3 linked regions of the Saccharomyces cerevisiae S288C genome follow. The protein of the gene in region 3 interacts with the protein of the main gene of each other region in a pairwise test. Each region holds a gene or a part of one and is shown on either strand. Other genes may lie near its edges.

Region 1 (4,075 bases), 630 kb from region 3:
TCACACCAATATATTCTTGTGGTGTAACACCTTCACCGGATTGTCTATCGTGATCCATACAAGCTTGACCATCTTTTTCAGAGTAAATAGTATAACGTTCACCGAATTTGATTTTACCAGCAGCCTTTAACTTGTTCATTTGCCATCTAATAAAGGCATCGTAATAAGGATTGGCATCAGTGGTGACAAAAGAACGTCTCCAATCGATACGAGCCCCAAGTGAAGTACAATCACTTTCACACAAAGGTGGGAAATAGGTCAACCAGTACTTGGCGTCGGCGAACTTAATGATTTCTTCTCTAGGGATACCAAGCTGTAACATGATTTCGAATTGGTACTTACCACGGCCCTTCTTGGCTGCGGCTTTAGATTTTTTAGCTTTGAATTTGGTAACATCCTCGTGGTCTTTCTCAGCCGGCGTTTCTTCTTTAATTTCTTCTTCTTCTGCTGGTACATTGTCGAAGTTCTTGCCAAAAAGTTCGGCTTCCCTCTTTAGTTTATCGGCACATGCTAAGATTGGCATACCTGTACAGTGAAAACCCAATGGAAACAAAGCTCTTTTACCGTTCATCCTTTCAAAACCAATAGAAAATTCGACTTTGGAGAGAGTAAAACAATGGCCGGCGTGCATAACACCGTTCATATAAGGATAGGCCATAGACGACATGAATTTAGGATACGTGCGATGTAACTCTTCAGAGTCCATTGTAATGGGCTCATCTTCGATTGATGGCGCATCGATTTCAAATTGGTGCTCTTCAGCCCATATTTTTTGGTACTTCTTTTCGATGGCGATTAACGCATCTCTACGTGCCGTGTTTTCTAAGACCAAACCAGAAGACATTATAGACTGGTTAAAGATATTTTTTTTATATTCTTCACTCTGGAAAAAAATTTCGGTGGCTTTACGTGATTATGATTTATAATAATACAATCATTCAACGTTTGAATAGAATATGCGTTAGGTTTCTTTTCGCTTTTGATTTTTTTTTTTTTTTCATTATTTGCGTGGGTGACTGATTTAGTTTTTCAATGTAAAAGAACCGTTAACGGCCAGACCTCGTATAAAGTGAGGATAACTATAGGCAATAATGGGCGATGTGTATGTAAGCACGAGCACTAGTTCAATACACATCAGAAAGAAACTTCGTCTAATTATTTCTTACCCAAGTAGTCACCCAAAAAGACCTTTTCAAAATATGACCTTGATATTCCTTGTCCGTCAGTTACCAGTTTTACTGTTAGCCGCCGAGGTCCTAAGGGCCTCGTAAGATCGTTCTTGTCTTCCCATGACTAAAGTTCTGCCACTAAGTTTAAGCAAACTCGGCTAAAATATTGAGCCAATATCGTATACTCATTTGTCTGATCTTCAAATAGTGAATCCCTTCCTAAACTTTCTTGTGATAAAGGTACTTAGTCAAAAGTATTTTTCTTTAACCATGTCAAAATAAGATCATATTACCCGCCGGCGGCAAGCCAAGCAACGTAAAATGGCTGAAGACAACGTAAGCAGGTCACTCGCGAACTAAAACTAACCGCGAATAACAAATCACCTCATCTATATTTCAGCCCCAAAAGATTGTGGTTTCAAGTGAAAATAACTGTCCTACTAAATGGATTACGAAGAAATTTTATTTGGTCTGCAACCGATCCTCAATGCGTCTTCAATAAAGGATGTTCCGATGAACGATGTCTACTTAGGAAGCTACCTAGCGGTAATGGACCAATTGGCTGTTTCGTTGAGAGAACCAAGTAATAGAGATATTGTTGGTAAAACTGGGCTGCTACTGAACCTAGTAAGAGTATTAGAACAAGCGCTTGATATCTGCTTTCATGATACGAGCATTTCAATTAATGATAAAATAGCGTTTTATGAGATCAGTTCTGAAGTGATTAGATGTATCGCTAACGCAATAATTGATAATGATGATAATCGGGAAATTCTCTTGGATTCTGGAGGTAAAAAGCTTCTTAATTATTATATAGGCGGGGTTCTTCAGCTGGACGAAATTTCTTCTGACAAGAGTGAGGATAGCTTAGTGGATAAATTACAGATGCGGTCAGTTGTGCTACTAAGGAATTTTTGCATTGGAAATCTCAAGTATACAGAAAATTTGGCTCCCTTCATTAGAGGTCCATTATTTGTTTTGTTGAAAACCACACAATATAGCTATTTGTCATCTCCCGAAAAAGTTGTTTTAGGTTCAGATTTATTGAACGATATTTTAAAAGTCAATTACTCAAATGTTCAAATAAGCGATCTCTTTTTCTTAAGCCAGTACATCAAAAAAATCTCTTCAAATGTGCAAAATAAAGAATTGCAGGCAATGGAAGATGGAGCAGTCGAAGCATATTCAAATACTGAAACTCAGAAGTTCGCTGGCCAAGGAAATCAAGAGTACATCGAAAAAGAGGAAGAAGATGATGAGGAGGACGTTAATTGTGAATTGCTATTAAATCTGTCAACATGTCTTGAAACTATTGTAGCCAAGGATGAAACTATAAACTTTACCAATGAGGAGCAGCTTGTGCTAAGCATGCAAAAAAATTTAATATTGTCCTTAGTTTGCTTAGAATCAAAAACCTTCAATAATAAGCTAATTGTAATGAGAAGACTCATATCGTGCGCAGGCAACATCTCCGCCAACCTAACAAACTCTAACAAACGAGAGCAATCATTATGTATCGAAACTATTAAGAGTTCCGCAAGTAGTTATGCCCTAGCCGCAGCTTTGATGATATTATGTAACTCAGTTGCATCCAAAAGTGACGCTGTCGCGCTACTGAAGCTCATATCTCTTAGTGAATTGATTCAAGTTGGTAGCTTGCTACAAGACCCACTACAATATCAAGGATTCCTAGATTTACTGAGGAAGCTGTTAAATCTGGAAAATACCATGTGGCTAGATATCAAGGACCTCTTCACCCTATTTCAGATTATGAGAAGATGTCACGAGCAAACTAAATATTATAACAACCTGAGATCGTTATTAACAAATTTATTAAACAAAACTTTAACGGTGCTTCCAAGTTCAAAAATACACAATTCAATAAGCAGTGATCCAACAATTATCTCTTTTATAGCAGAGCATGGAACGTTAACGTCCTGTATTGCGATGGATAAGCTGCTTGTGTCCAAGAAAGCCCTTCCTAAAGAAGCTATTACATCCCTATGGGATTCGATCTTCAAATTCCAAAATTTAGGTCAAGCAGAACAACTAAGCATCTCAGATTTATTTCATATCACAAAAACGGTTGGAATTTATTTAAAAGATTCAAGTGTAACAGCTGACGTGAATCCGATTGAAAATATACTATTCAAGGATTACATTCAAAAGTTAACCCTGATATTAGAGACCATACTTTCATTTAAAGAAAATAAAGATAAGGGTAGCGAGAGTTGTTTCAACAATGGGAAATTTATAGCGGGCATAATACTAAACATTGTGAAAAATACGAAATGCTTAACGCCAGAGGAACAAAATTTAGAAGCGCTTGCAAAATCGTTCTTTTAGACACGTAATCGCCTTACCTACGAGGGGAGAAAACGTTCCCTCTGCATGTATATATATATATATATATATAAATATTAAATCTTGAATATTGTTGGATTAAGCATGTGCTTGACAAATGGTGTATGGGTTTGTAGACGATGAGAGTGGAAGGGAGATTAAAAGTTTATTGCAGATGCGAACATCTGCACAAAAGTACTTGAATGTACTAAGCAGAAAAAGTTCTAATACATATTAGCAGGAGGCCCAACAGTCACACAAGTTCAGCAGAACTGCCAATTAATCGAAAAGAATATGTATGTTTCTAATGGGAAAGACACTTGCCAGTTGTTGGGGCCCGTGTCTCTTTTTGTCCAGACATTGATGGGTATGACAGCCGTGATTGTGTTATTGGTGAAAAGAAACTATGAGCATCCAAGGAGAAAAATGATTGTGTGGAGTTATGACATTGGAAAACAAATCATCGGCTCTCTTGGAATCCATTTTTTGAATCTAGGCATCAGCATACTGAAGAAAAGACGAAGGTCACTCTTCGCAATCACTGCAAAAGGCAATGATGATGA
Region 2 (6,611 bases), on a different chromosome or scaffold from region 3:
AAGTCTCCAAATTCTAGTGTTAACCCAGATGAAACAGTTGCTTTAGGAGCAGCTATTCAAGGTGGTATTCTATCCGGTGAAATAAAGAATGTCTTACTTTTGGATGTGACACCATTGACATTAGGGATTGAAACATTTGGAGGAGCGTTCTCACCCTTGATACCTAGAAATACGACAGTTCCAGTAAAAAAAACAGAGATATTTAGTACTGGTGTTGATGGGCAAGCGGGTGTTGATATCAAAGTTTTTCAGGGTGAAAGAGGGTTAGTGCGTAACAACAAGTTGATTGGTGATTTGAAACTTACAGGAATCACCCCTTTGCCTAAAGGCATTCCCCAAATATATGTTACTTTTGATATCGATGCGGATGGTATCATCAACGTATCTGCCGCTGAGAAAAGTAGTGGGAAACAACAATCCATTACTGTAATACCAAATTCTGGGTTAAGCGAAGAGGAAATTGCAAAACTTATTGAAGAAGCAAATGCAAATAGGGCACAAGATAACTTGATCAGGCAAAGGTTAGAGCTTATCTCTAAGGCTGACATTATGATAAGTGATACTGAGAATTTATTTAAAAGATATGAAAAACTGATTTCTAGCGAAAAAGAGTATTCTAATATCGTAGAGGACATCAAAGCTCTGAGACAAGCTATAAAGAATTTTAAGGCTAACGAAAATGACATGTCAATTGATGTAAACGGAATAAAAAAAGCTACGGATGCGCTACAGGGTAGGGCATTAAAATTATTCCAAAGCGCAACAAAAAACCAGCAGAATCAAGGTAAATAAGTGAACAAAACACAAATAAGACTTGTATATTAACGTGTATATCGTTCATTAAAGCATATTTTGACGTATTTATACTTTATACATTTATATATTTCTTTCCCGTTTCAAATTTTCGGTTCAAATAAAGTTGCATGTGGATTATTATGTTCCCATAAATTCTAGTTTTTATTATTTTCCTTGCACCGTATACCTTTATAGAGATTTGTTCATGAATCTTCTTCTTGTGAACGCCAACCAAAACTTTGAGGGATATTCCTTAGAATCTGTAGAGCTATAGACTCTTTCTAATAGTCTCATTGCCAATTCTTGACGGAATTGCTGAATATAAGTCTTCAACAAGTCCATCGAATTATGATCTTGTACTGGAACTTGGTAAACATTATTCAGAGGGAAACCCGGTGTACCTGGTAAAGTAAAGTTGTCCAAGGCCACATTGGTTAACACTTTGACGGCTTCGTTAAATGACGTTGTTATTTTCAAATGGGCTAGGCAATCATTGATAAAGAGAATTCCGTAGATGAGCACTCTGTCGGCGGGTGATTTAATTTCAAAATTCTTGAAGAAGGAATTGGCACGAAATAGGTCCAAGCACTCGTCGATAATATCGTAATCGGAATTGCTGGGGTATGCAGGACCCCTGAACTTAGTGTTCAAGGGCAGAAGCGCAAAGTTCCCTACCATGCGGTCAGTGTTAGGATCTACAGGGAAAGTCGAGTGATACGCAGGCATTTATTAATATACTGGGAGTGGAGAGACTGATAATACCAATAATCTTCCTTTATTGATGTTTGTTACTGCGCACCAAGTGTTTAATTTATTGTTATTCATTGTTATACTAAACCAAACCGCAACGGAAAGGATAGGGGTTCGTGGTGGATGATCCGCGTAACGGCCGAGTCTGTGAAACTGAGAGAGAATGATAGTGAAAACAATGGTATGGAAGTCCGAGGTCCTAAGGCTTGAAGAAAGTTTTTAAAGGGCATTATGACCAGTGAGTACTGACGACCTAATTTAATAACAGTATTGAGCCGATTAGGTTTTCCTGGATTTTTTTTTTGCTGTTTTATAGCTATTTTTTTATTTGTTGTTTGTGGTCATTAATATATTCATTCGCTCTGTTAGTGTAATCGATTACAGTGCTCTATTACTGCTGACTTAATTGGACAATTCATCTCTTTTCCTGCGGTTATGAGCGAAACCAACGTTGACAGCTTAGGGGACAGAAATGACATATACTCCCAAATATTTGGTGTAGAAAGGAGGCCAGATTCCTTCGCTACTTTTGATAGTGACTCGCACGGAGACATAAGTTCTCAGCTGCTGCCTAATAGAATCGAAAATATCCAGAATCTAAATGTTCTGCTTTCTGAAGACATTGCTAATGACATCATTATTGCCAAGCAGAGGAGACGTTCTGGAGTTGAAGCCGCCATCGATGATTCTGATATACCAAATAACGAAATGAAGGGGAAAAGCTCAAATTACATTTTATCGCAGCAGACTAATATTAAGGAAGTTCCAGATACACAAAGTTTGTCTAGTGCTGATAATACACCTGTGAGCAGTCCAAAGAAGGCAAGAGATGCCACATCTTCCCATCCCATTGTTCATGCTAAATCGATGTCCCATATATATTCAACGAGTAATAGTGCTAGTAGACAAGCCAAGCACTATAATGACCACCCTTTGCCTCCAATGTCTCCAAGAAATGAAGTTTACCAGAAGAATAAAAGTACTACAGCTTTTGTGCCTAAGAGGAAACCTTCGCTCCCGCAACTAGCACTTGCTGGTCTTAAGAAGCAGAGCAGTTTTTCCACCGGCAGTGCATCAACCACTCCTACACAGGCTAGAAAATCGCCTTTGCAAGGGTTTGGTTTCTTTTCGAGACCAAGTTCCAAAGACTTGCACGAACAGCACCAACATCACCAGCATATTCAGCATAATAATATTAACAATCATAATAATAATAATACTAATAATAATGGCGCACATTATCAAGTGGGTAGTAGTAACAGTAATTACCCTCAACATTCACATTCTATATCATCTAGATCGATGTCGTTGAACTCATCTACTCTAAAAAATATTGCATCATCTTTTCAATCGAAGACTTCTAACAGCAGGAAAGCTACGCAAAAATATGATATAACTTCCAACCCATTCTCAGATCCTCATCATCATCATCATCATCATCACTCTTCAAACAGTCACAGTAGCCTAAATAATGTCCACGGGTCTGGAAACTCCTCAAGTGTTATGGGAAGCTCGTCTAATATTGGGTTGGGTCTTAAAACGAGAGTTTCTTCCACCTCATTAGCTTTAAAAAGATACACTTCGGTTTCAGGAACTTCTCTATCTTCTCCACGTAGAAGTAGTATGACACCTTTGTCGGCATCTAGACCTGTTATGAGCGCTTCATCAAAAAAACCTCAGGTATATCCAGCTTTGTTGTCAAGAGTCGCCACAAAATTTAAAAGTTCGATACAACTCGGGGAACATAAGAAGGATGGATTAGTTTACCGTGACGCATTTACAGGGCAGCAGGCAGTCGATGTCATCTGTGCTATCATTAGAACTTCTGATAGAAACTTAGCCTTGTTATTTGGTAGATCACTAGATGCACAAAAGCTGTTCCATGATGTGGTATACGAGCACAGGTTAAGAGATTCACCACATGAAGTTTACGAATTTACAGATAACTCAAGATTTACAGGAACAGGTTCCACAAACGCCCATGATCCACTGATGCTACTCCCAAACTCATCATCTTTTAATTCCGGGAACCACTCTTATCCGAATTCCGGAATGGTTCCATCAAGTTCAACTTCATCTTTGAATAGTGATCAGGCAACTTTGACAGGGTCGAGGCTACATATGAGTAGTTCATTGTCCCAGCAAAAGAACCCTGCAGCCATTCATAACGTCAATGGTGTGTTTACATTACTGGCGGAATGCTATTCCCCTACGTGCACAAGAGACGCTTTGTGTTACTCTATTTCGTGTCCAAGACGTCTTGAGCAACAAGCAAGGTTAAATCTGAAACCAAATGGCGGCCTGAAACGTAATATATCAATGGCATTGGATGATGATGACGAAGAAAAGCCATCTTGGACAAGTTCCGTATCTAAAGAGGATTGGGAAAACTTACCAAAAAAGGAAATAAAAAGACAAGAGGCTATTTATGAAGTTTATATCACGGAGAAGAACTTTGTAAAATCATTAGAAATTACAAGAGACACATTCATGAAGACTTTGGCTGAAACAAATATTATTTCAGCAGATATTAGAAAAAATTTCATCAAGCATGTTTTTGCACATATAAACGATATCTATTCAGTGAATAGACGTTTTTTGAAGGCTTTAACTGATAGGCAAAGAAGTTCACCAGTTGTGAGAGGAATTGGGGACATTGTTTTAAGATTCATTCCATTTTTTGAACCATTTGTTTCATATGTCGCTTCAAGACCATATGCGAAGTACTTGATTGAAACCCAAAGATCAGTCAATCCCTATTTTGCTAGATTTGATGACGATATGATGAGCTCCTCCTTACGTCATGGTATTGATTCGTTTTTATCTCAAGGTGTTTCAAGACCAGGTCGATATATGCTATTGGTCAAAGAAATCATGAAATCTACTGACCCCGAGAAGGACAAAAGTGATTATGAAGATTTAAGCAAAGCCATGGATGCATTAAGGGATTTTATGAAAAGGATTGATCAAGCAAGTGGTGCTGCACAAGATAGACATGATGTAAAATTGTTGAAACAAAAGATTCTTTTCAAAAACGAATACGTTAATTTAGGATTAAATGACGAAAGGAGAAAAATTAAACATGAAGGTATACTATCACGGAAGGAGTTGTCAAAATCGGACGGAACAGTTGTTGGTGACATACAATTTTATCTTCTAGATAATATGCTCTTATTTTTAAAGGCCAAAGCAGTTAATAAATGGCACCAGCATAAGGTATTCCAAAGGCCCATTCCATTGCCATTGTTATTTGCATGTCCAGGTGAAGATATGCCTGCGTTGAGGAAATATATTGGAGACCACCCAGATTGTTCAGGAACTGTAATTCAACCAGAATACAACACGAGTAATCCTAAAAACGCAATAACTTTCTTATACTACGGTGCCAAGCAGAGATATCAAGTTACATTATATGCTGCGCAATACGCTGGATTGCAAACGCTTTTGGAAAAAATAAAGCAAGGACAAGCAGCTATTATAAGCAAAACGGAGATGTTCAATGTAACGAAAATGAGCGATAGGTTCTTCGATTACACCAACAAAATTAACAGTGTTACTTCCTGTGATGGGGGTAGAAAACTTCTGATTGCAACGAACTCTGGATTGTATATGAGCAACATTAAAAGACAGCAGAATAAAGATCATAGACATAAAAGCTCTGCTTTTTTTTCAACTCCAATCCAACTAGTACAAAGAAATAATATCACTCAAATTGCTGTATTAGAAGAATTCAAATCAATCATACTTTTAATTGATAAAAAATTATACAGTTGTCCGCTGTCATTAATCGAAGCAGAAGGTAATGGGACATCTTTCTTCAAAAAGCATCACAAGGAACTGATCAATCATGTGAGTTTCTTCGCAGAAGGAGATTGCAATGGTAAGAGATTAATCGTGACTGCACACAGTTCATCGCATTCAATTAAGTACTTCGAGCATGAACATCCATTATTGGCCGAAAAAAATGGTAGTGGTAGCGGTAACAAAAAAAGTCTCAAGAAAAAAATCACCGAGGTTATTTTTGATTCTGAACCTGTCTCTATTTCATTTCTCAAGGCCAACCTATGCATTGGCTGTAAAAAGGGTTTTCAGATCGTTAGCATTTCACAGAATGCTCATGAATCCTTGTTAGATCCGGCCGATACATCATTAGAGTTTGCACTAAGGGATACTTTGAAACCAATGGCAATCTATCGTGTGGGAAATATGTTTTTGCTGTGTTACACAGAATTTGCCTTCTTTGTCAATAATCAGGGTTGGAGAAAGAAAGAATCGCATATTATTCATTGGGAGGGAGAGCCCCAAAAATTTGCAATTTGGTACCCGTACATCTTGGCATTCGACAGCAACTTCATTGAGATCAGAAAGATTGAAACTGGCGAATTAATTCGTTGCGTCCTTGCTGATAAGATTCGACTTCTACAAACAAGTACTCAAGAAATCCTGTACTGCTACGAGGATTATCGCGGGTATGATACAGTTGCGTCGTTAGATTTCTGGGGTTAAGATAGCAACGTATATAGACTTTCCTTATTTTCTTTAGAATAAAAAGCATAACTAAAGTTGTAAAAGGAGCAGAATTATGAATAATAAACATTGATGACAATAGTGGAAAACGACATAAATAATAATTTTATAATATAATAATGATAATTCACCGTCAGAGGGATTTGTATGCAAATGATTGATGACGCGAGAAAAAAAAACGCGAAATTTTTCTTCCCAAAGCTTCGAAGTTTTTATTCCGTCCACAAAGTGAAAAATTTTCAGAAAATTTTCCAGACTGTGAATAAACAAAAGGTTGGCTTACGCATTTGGCTTGTCTTTTTTTTTTTTCACAGGTTCTTAGTAAATAATTGTATAAAATATTTATCTGGAGTCTTCTGTTTGTTGTTTAGCCTTGTTTGAAGTTTTATTTAACTTATTACCCCAGTTAGGTACTGTGTATTTTCCGCATATCTGGTGTCTTTTTATTTGGTCATTGATTGGTTTTTGACAGCTCTTCACTCGCTTCAAGCTTACTTCTAGTTTATTTATTCGGCTTTTTTCCGTTTGTTTACGAAACA
Region 3 (3,171 bases):
CAAGCTAAAATTACCGCACCTAGGTAATAACAATTCAATTCTTGAAGTCTGTCCGGACATAGAAAACAACCAATTATTCATACTCTACTCTGATGGCTTAAGAATCCTCGAACTATCATACCTAACATCAAATAATGGAAATTTCTTATTAAAATCTACAAGAAGCAAAAATAAGAAATTTTTATATCTAGACAAAATAAATCGAATGCTGGTATTGAATCAGGACTTGAGGGAATGGGAGTGTATTAGACTATCAGATGGTAAGGCAGTTGGTTTAGATTCTCAACTTCTTAAGGATGATTCTGAAGAAATCCTAGAAATAAAGGAATTACCAATAGCAACAGAGGACAATCCTTTAGAAAAGAAAACTGTATTATTGATCTCTTTTACTAGCTCATTAAAACTAGTTTTATTAACTGCTGCAAAAAACAAAATTTCCAATCAAATAATAGATTCGTATAAACTTGACAATTCAAGACTCCTCAATCATTTGGTCATTACTCCCAGAGGTGAAATATTCTTTCTGGATTATAAAGTTATGGGCACCGATAACGAAATGTCCTTTAACAAGTTGAAAGTCACAAAACATTGCATTGACCAGGAGGAGAGAAATAATACGACTTTGCGGCTCACTTTGGAAACCCGGTTTACATTTAAGAGTTGGAGTACAGTTAAGACGTTTACTGTAGTAGGCGATAATATCATTGCTACCACAAATATGGGCGAAAAGCTCTACTTGATTAAGGATTTCTCTTCATCATCTGACGAATCGAGAAGGGTGTATCCCTTGGAAATGTATCCTGATTCAAAAGTTCAAAAGATAATACCATTAAATGAATGCTGCTTTGTTGTTGCCGCTTACTGTGGAAATAGGAACGATTTAGATTCAAGATTAATTTTTTACTCTTTACCCACCATCAAAGTTGGGCTTAATAACGAAACAGGCAGCCTACCAGATGAATATGGGAATGGGAGAGTCGACGACATATTCGAGGTTGACTTTCCTGAAGGATTTCAATTTGGCACTATGGCTTTGTATGATGTTTTACATGGTGAGAGGCACGTAAATCGTTACAGCGAAGGCATACGGTCGGAGAATGACGAAGCAGAGGTTGCCCTAAGGCAGCGTAGAAATTTACTACTCTTTTGGCGAAACCACTCTTCTACACCAAAACCTTCACTACGCCGAGCCGCCACTATAGTATATGAGGATCATGTATCATCCCGTTATTTTGAGGATATAAGTTCTATATTAGGAAGCACTGCAATGAGAACTAAAAGACTATCTCCCTATAATGCGGTAGCATTGGACAAGCCTATTCAAGATATTAGTTACGATCCCGCAGTACAAACTTTATATGTGCTAATGGCAGATCAAACAATTCACAAATTCGGCAAGGACAGGTTGCCTTGCCAGGACGAATACGAACCAAGATGGAATTCTGGCTATTTGGTTTCAAGAAGGTCAATAGTTAAATCTGACCTCATCTGTGAGGTTGGGTTATGGAACCTTAGCGATAACTGCAAGAACACAGTATAATTCCCTCATTTCCAATAACATTGTCGCTGATAAAATCGTGATTCTCGATCAATGTGCTACGCGTCGTGCAGCGTGACAAGGGGCTAAAAAAAGATACAAGAATTCTTGTTGTTTCCAATTTGCTTCGCCTCAGAAAAAAAAATAAACAGATTATACAATTTTTGTTTGATTTGTATTGGGTACTACATGTTTTAGTAGTTGATACAAATACTTCTTTATCCTAATCGTATATATTTATTTTACCAGCAGGAATTCGTCTTTAATATCGTTTCGACCATCGATCATTCCTCTGAGTATTGCAAAAACATTTTTGGAACAACCCAAACTTAAAGTTACAAAACTCAAAAAAGGAACAAAATTAATAAAACAAAAGAATCGCTGTTAGAGGTTTATTGTTGCACTAATAGAAAATCATAGAACTTTAAAAATTATACTAGAAAGATGTCACAACAAGTTGGTAACAGTATCAGAAGAAAGCTGGTAATCGTTGGTGATGGTGCCTGTGGTAAGACATGTTTATTAATCGTCTTTTCCAAGGGCCAATTTCCAGAAGTCTACGTACCAACTGTCTTTGAAAACTATGTAGCAGATGTTGAAGTTGATGGGCGTCGTGTAGAGCTAGCGCTATGGGATACCGCTGGTCAAGAAGATTATGATAGACTAAGACCATTGTCATACCCAGACTCCAATGTCGTATTAATTTGTTTCTCTATCGATCTTCCAGATTCTTTAGAGAATGTACAAGAAAAATGGATTGCCGAAGTATTACATTTCTGTCAAGGTGTGCCAATTATTCTTGTTGGTTGTAAAGTGGATTTGAGAAACGACCCACAAACCATTGAACAATTAAGACAAGAAGGTCAACAACCCGTTACATCACAGGAGGGACAATCTGTAGCAGACCAGATTGGCGCAACCGGATACTACGAATGTTCGGCCAAGACTGGTTATGGTGTCAGAGAAGTGTTTGAGGCCGCCACTAGAGCTTCATTGATGGGTAAATCTAAAACGAATGGTAAAGCTAAGAAGAACACTACTGAAAAGAAGAAGAAGAAGTGTGTCTTGTTATAGGAGTGTCTCGATCTCTCAGTCGTTAACTTAGTGGCAGATACTGCCCTTTTTCAATCCCATTCCTTTTCTCATTGTATGTACGTATGCCTTTTTTTGTTATTTTAGCTCTAACTATAGCTACTTGTTTTTCTCCCAGTATGTGTATAATCTTATTCTTCTCTACATATAAGTGTATTGCTCAGTAAGTATTATCATCTATTAAAGAAGAATAAAAATTATCATGTATTTATTTACAAGTGCGTATCCTATATATATATATATATATACTTTCGCGATAAAATTTTTTACCAAATACCCTTCTTAACACCTGGCAAATTACCCTTCAGAGCGTTTTCTCTAAATTGATACCTACACAACCTAAAATCACTTAGAACAAATCTTGCATGTCCAGAGTCCACGCACCTATTTTTGATCTGCGTAGATCTCATGTAGTTTGGCAATGCATTTAGTTTTAACTGAGCCTCCAACCTCAGTTTTGTTGGAAGGTTCATATTTCTAGCGATGAATTTCAAAGATTTAACAAGGATTTCATTCTCTTTAAATTGTTGTCTTTTGAAGTT

What was found. The genes of interacting proteins can lie anywhere in the genome.
Region 1: the proteins of RHO1 (region 3) and BEM4 interact in a two-hybrid assay, tested with the Saccharomyces cerevisiae proteins (5 studies listed by BioGRID, with this or other methods).
Region 2: the proteins of RHO1 (region 3) and ROM2 interact in a two-hybrid assay, tested with the Saccharomyces cerevisiae proteins (3 studies listed by BioGRID, with this or other methods).

Annotation. Positions count from the first base shown.
Region 1 is NC_001148.4:243,759-247,833, reverse strand, and holds BEM4 (Bem4p), read left to right. Parts: upstream 1-1,613; coding exon 1,614-3,515; downstream 3,516-4,075. Other genes in the region: leucine--tRNA ligase CDC60, read right to left, coding at 1-844; YPL162C (uncharacterized protein), read left to right, coding at 3,807-4,075. UniProt on the Saccharomyces cerevisiae protein: Probably acts as a GEF (guanine nucleotide exchange factor) for the Rho family of small GTP-binding proteins (G proteins) that stimulates the dissociation of GDP to enable subsequent binding of GTP.
Region 2 is NC_001144.5:860,734-867,344, forward strand, and holds ROM2 (Rho family guanine nucleotide exchange factor ROM2), read left to right. Parts: upstream 1-1,980; coding exon 1,981-6,051; downstream 6,052-6,611. Other genes in the region: Hsp70 family ATPase SSQ1, read left to right, coding at 1-792; ARC18 (Arc18p), read right to left, coding at 985-1,521. UniProt on the Saccharomyces cerevisiae protein: Stimulates the exchange of RHO1 GDP-bound form into GTP-bound form.
Region 3 is NC_001148.4:873,387-876,557, forward strand, and holds RHO1 (Rho family GTPase RHO1), read left to right. Parts: upstream 1-1,981; coding exon 1,982-2,611; downstream 2,612-3,171. Other genes in the region: MMS1 (Mms1p), read left to right, coding at 1-1,540; mitochondrial 37S ribosomal protein uS14m MRP2, read right to left, coding at 2,896-3,171. UniProt on the Saccharomyces cerevisiae protein: Acts as a central regulator in the cell wall integrity signaling pathway, which is regulated by the cell cycle and in response to various types of cell wall stress.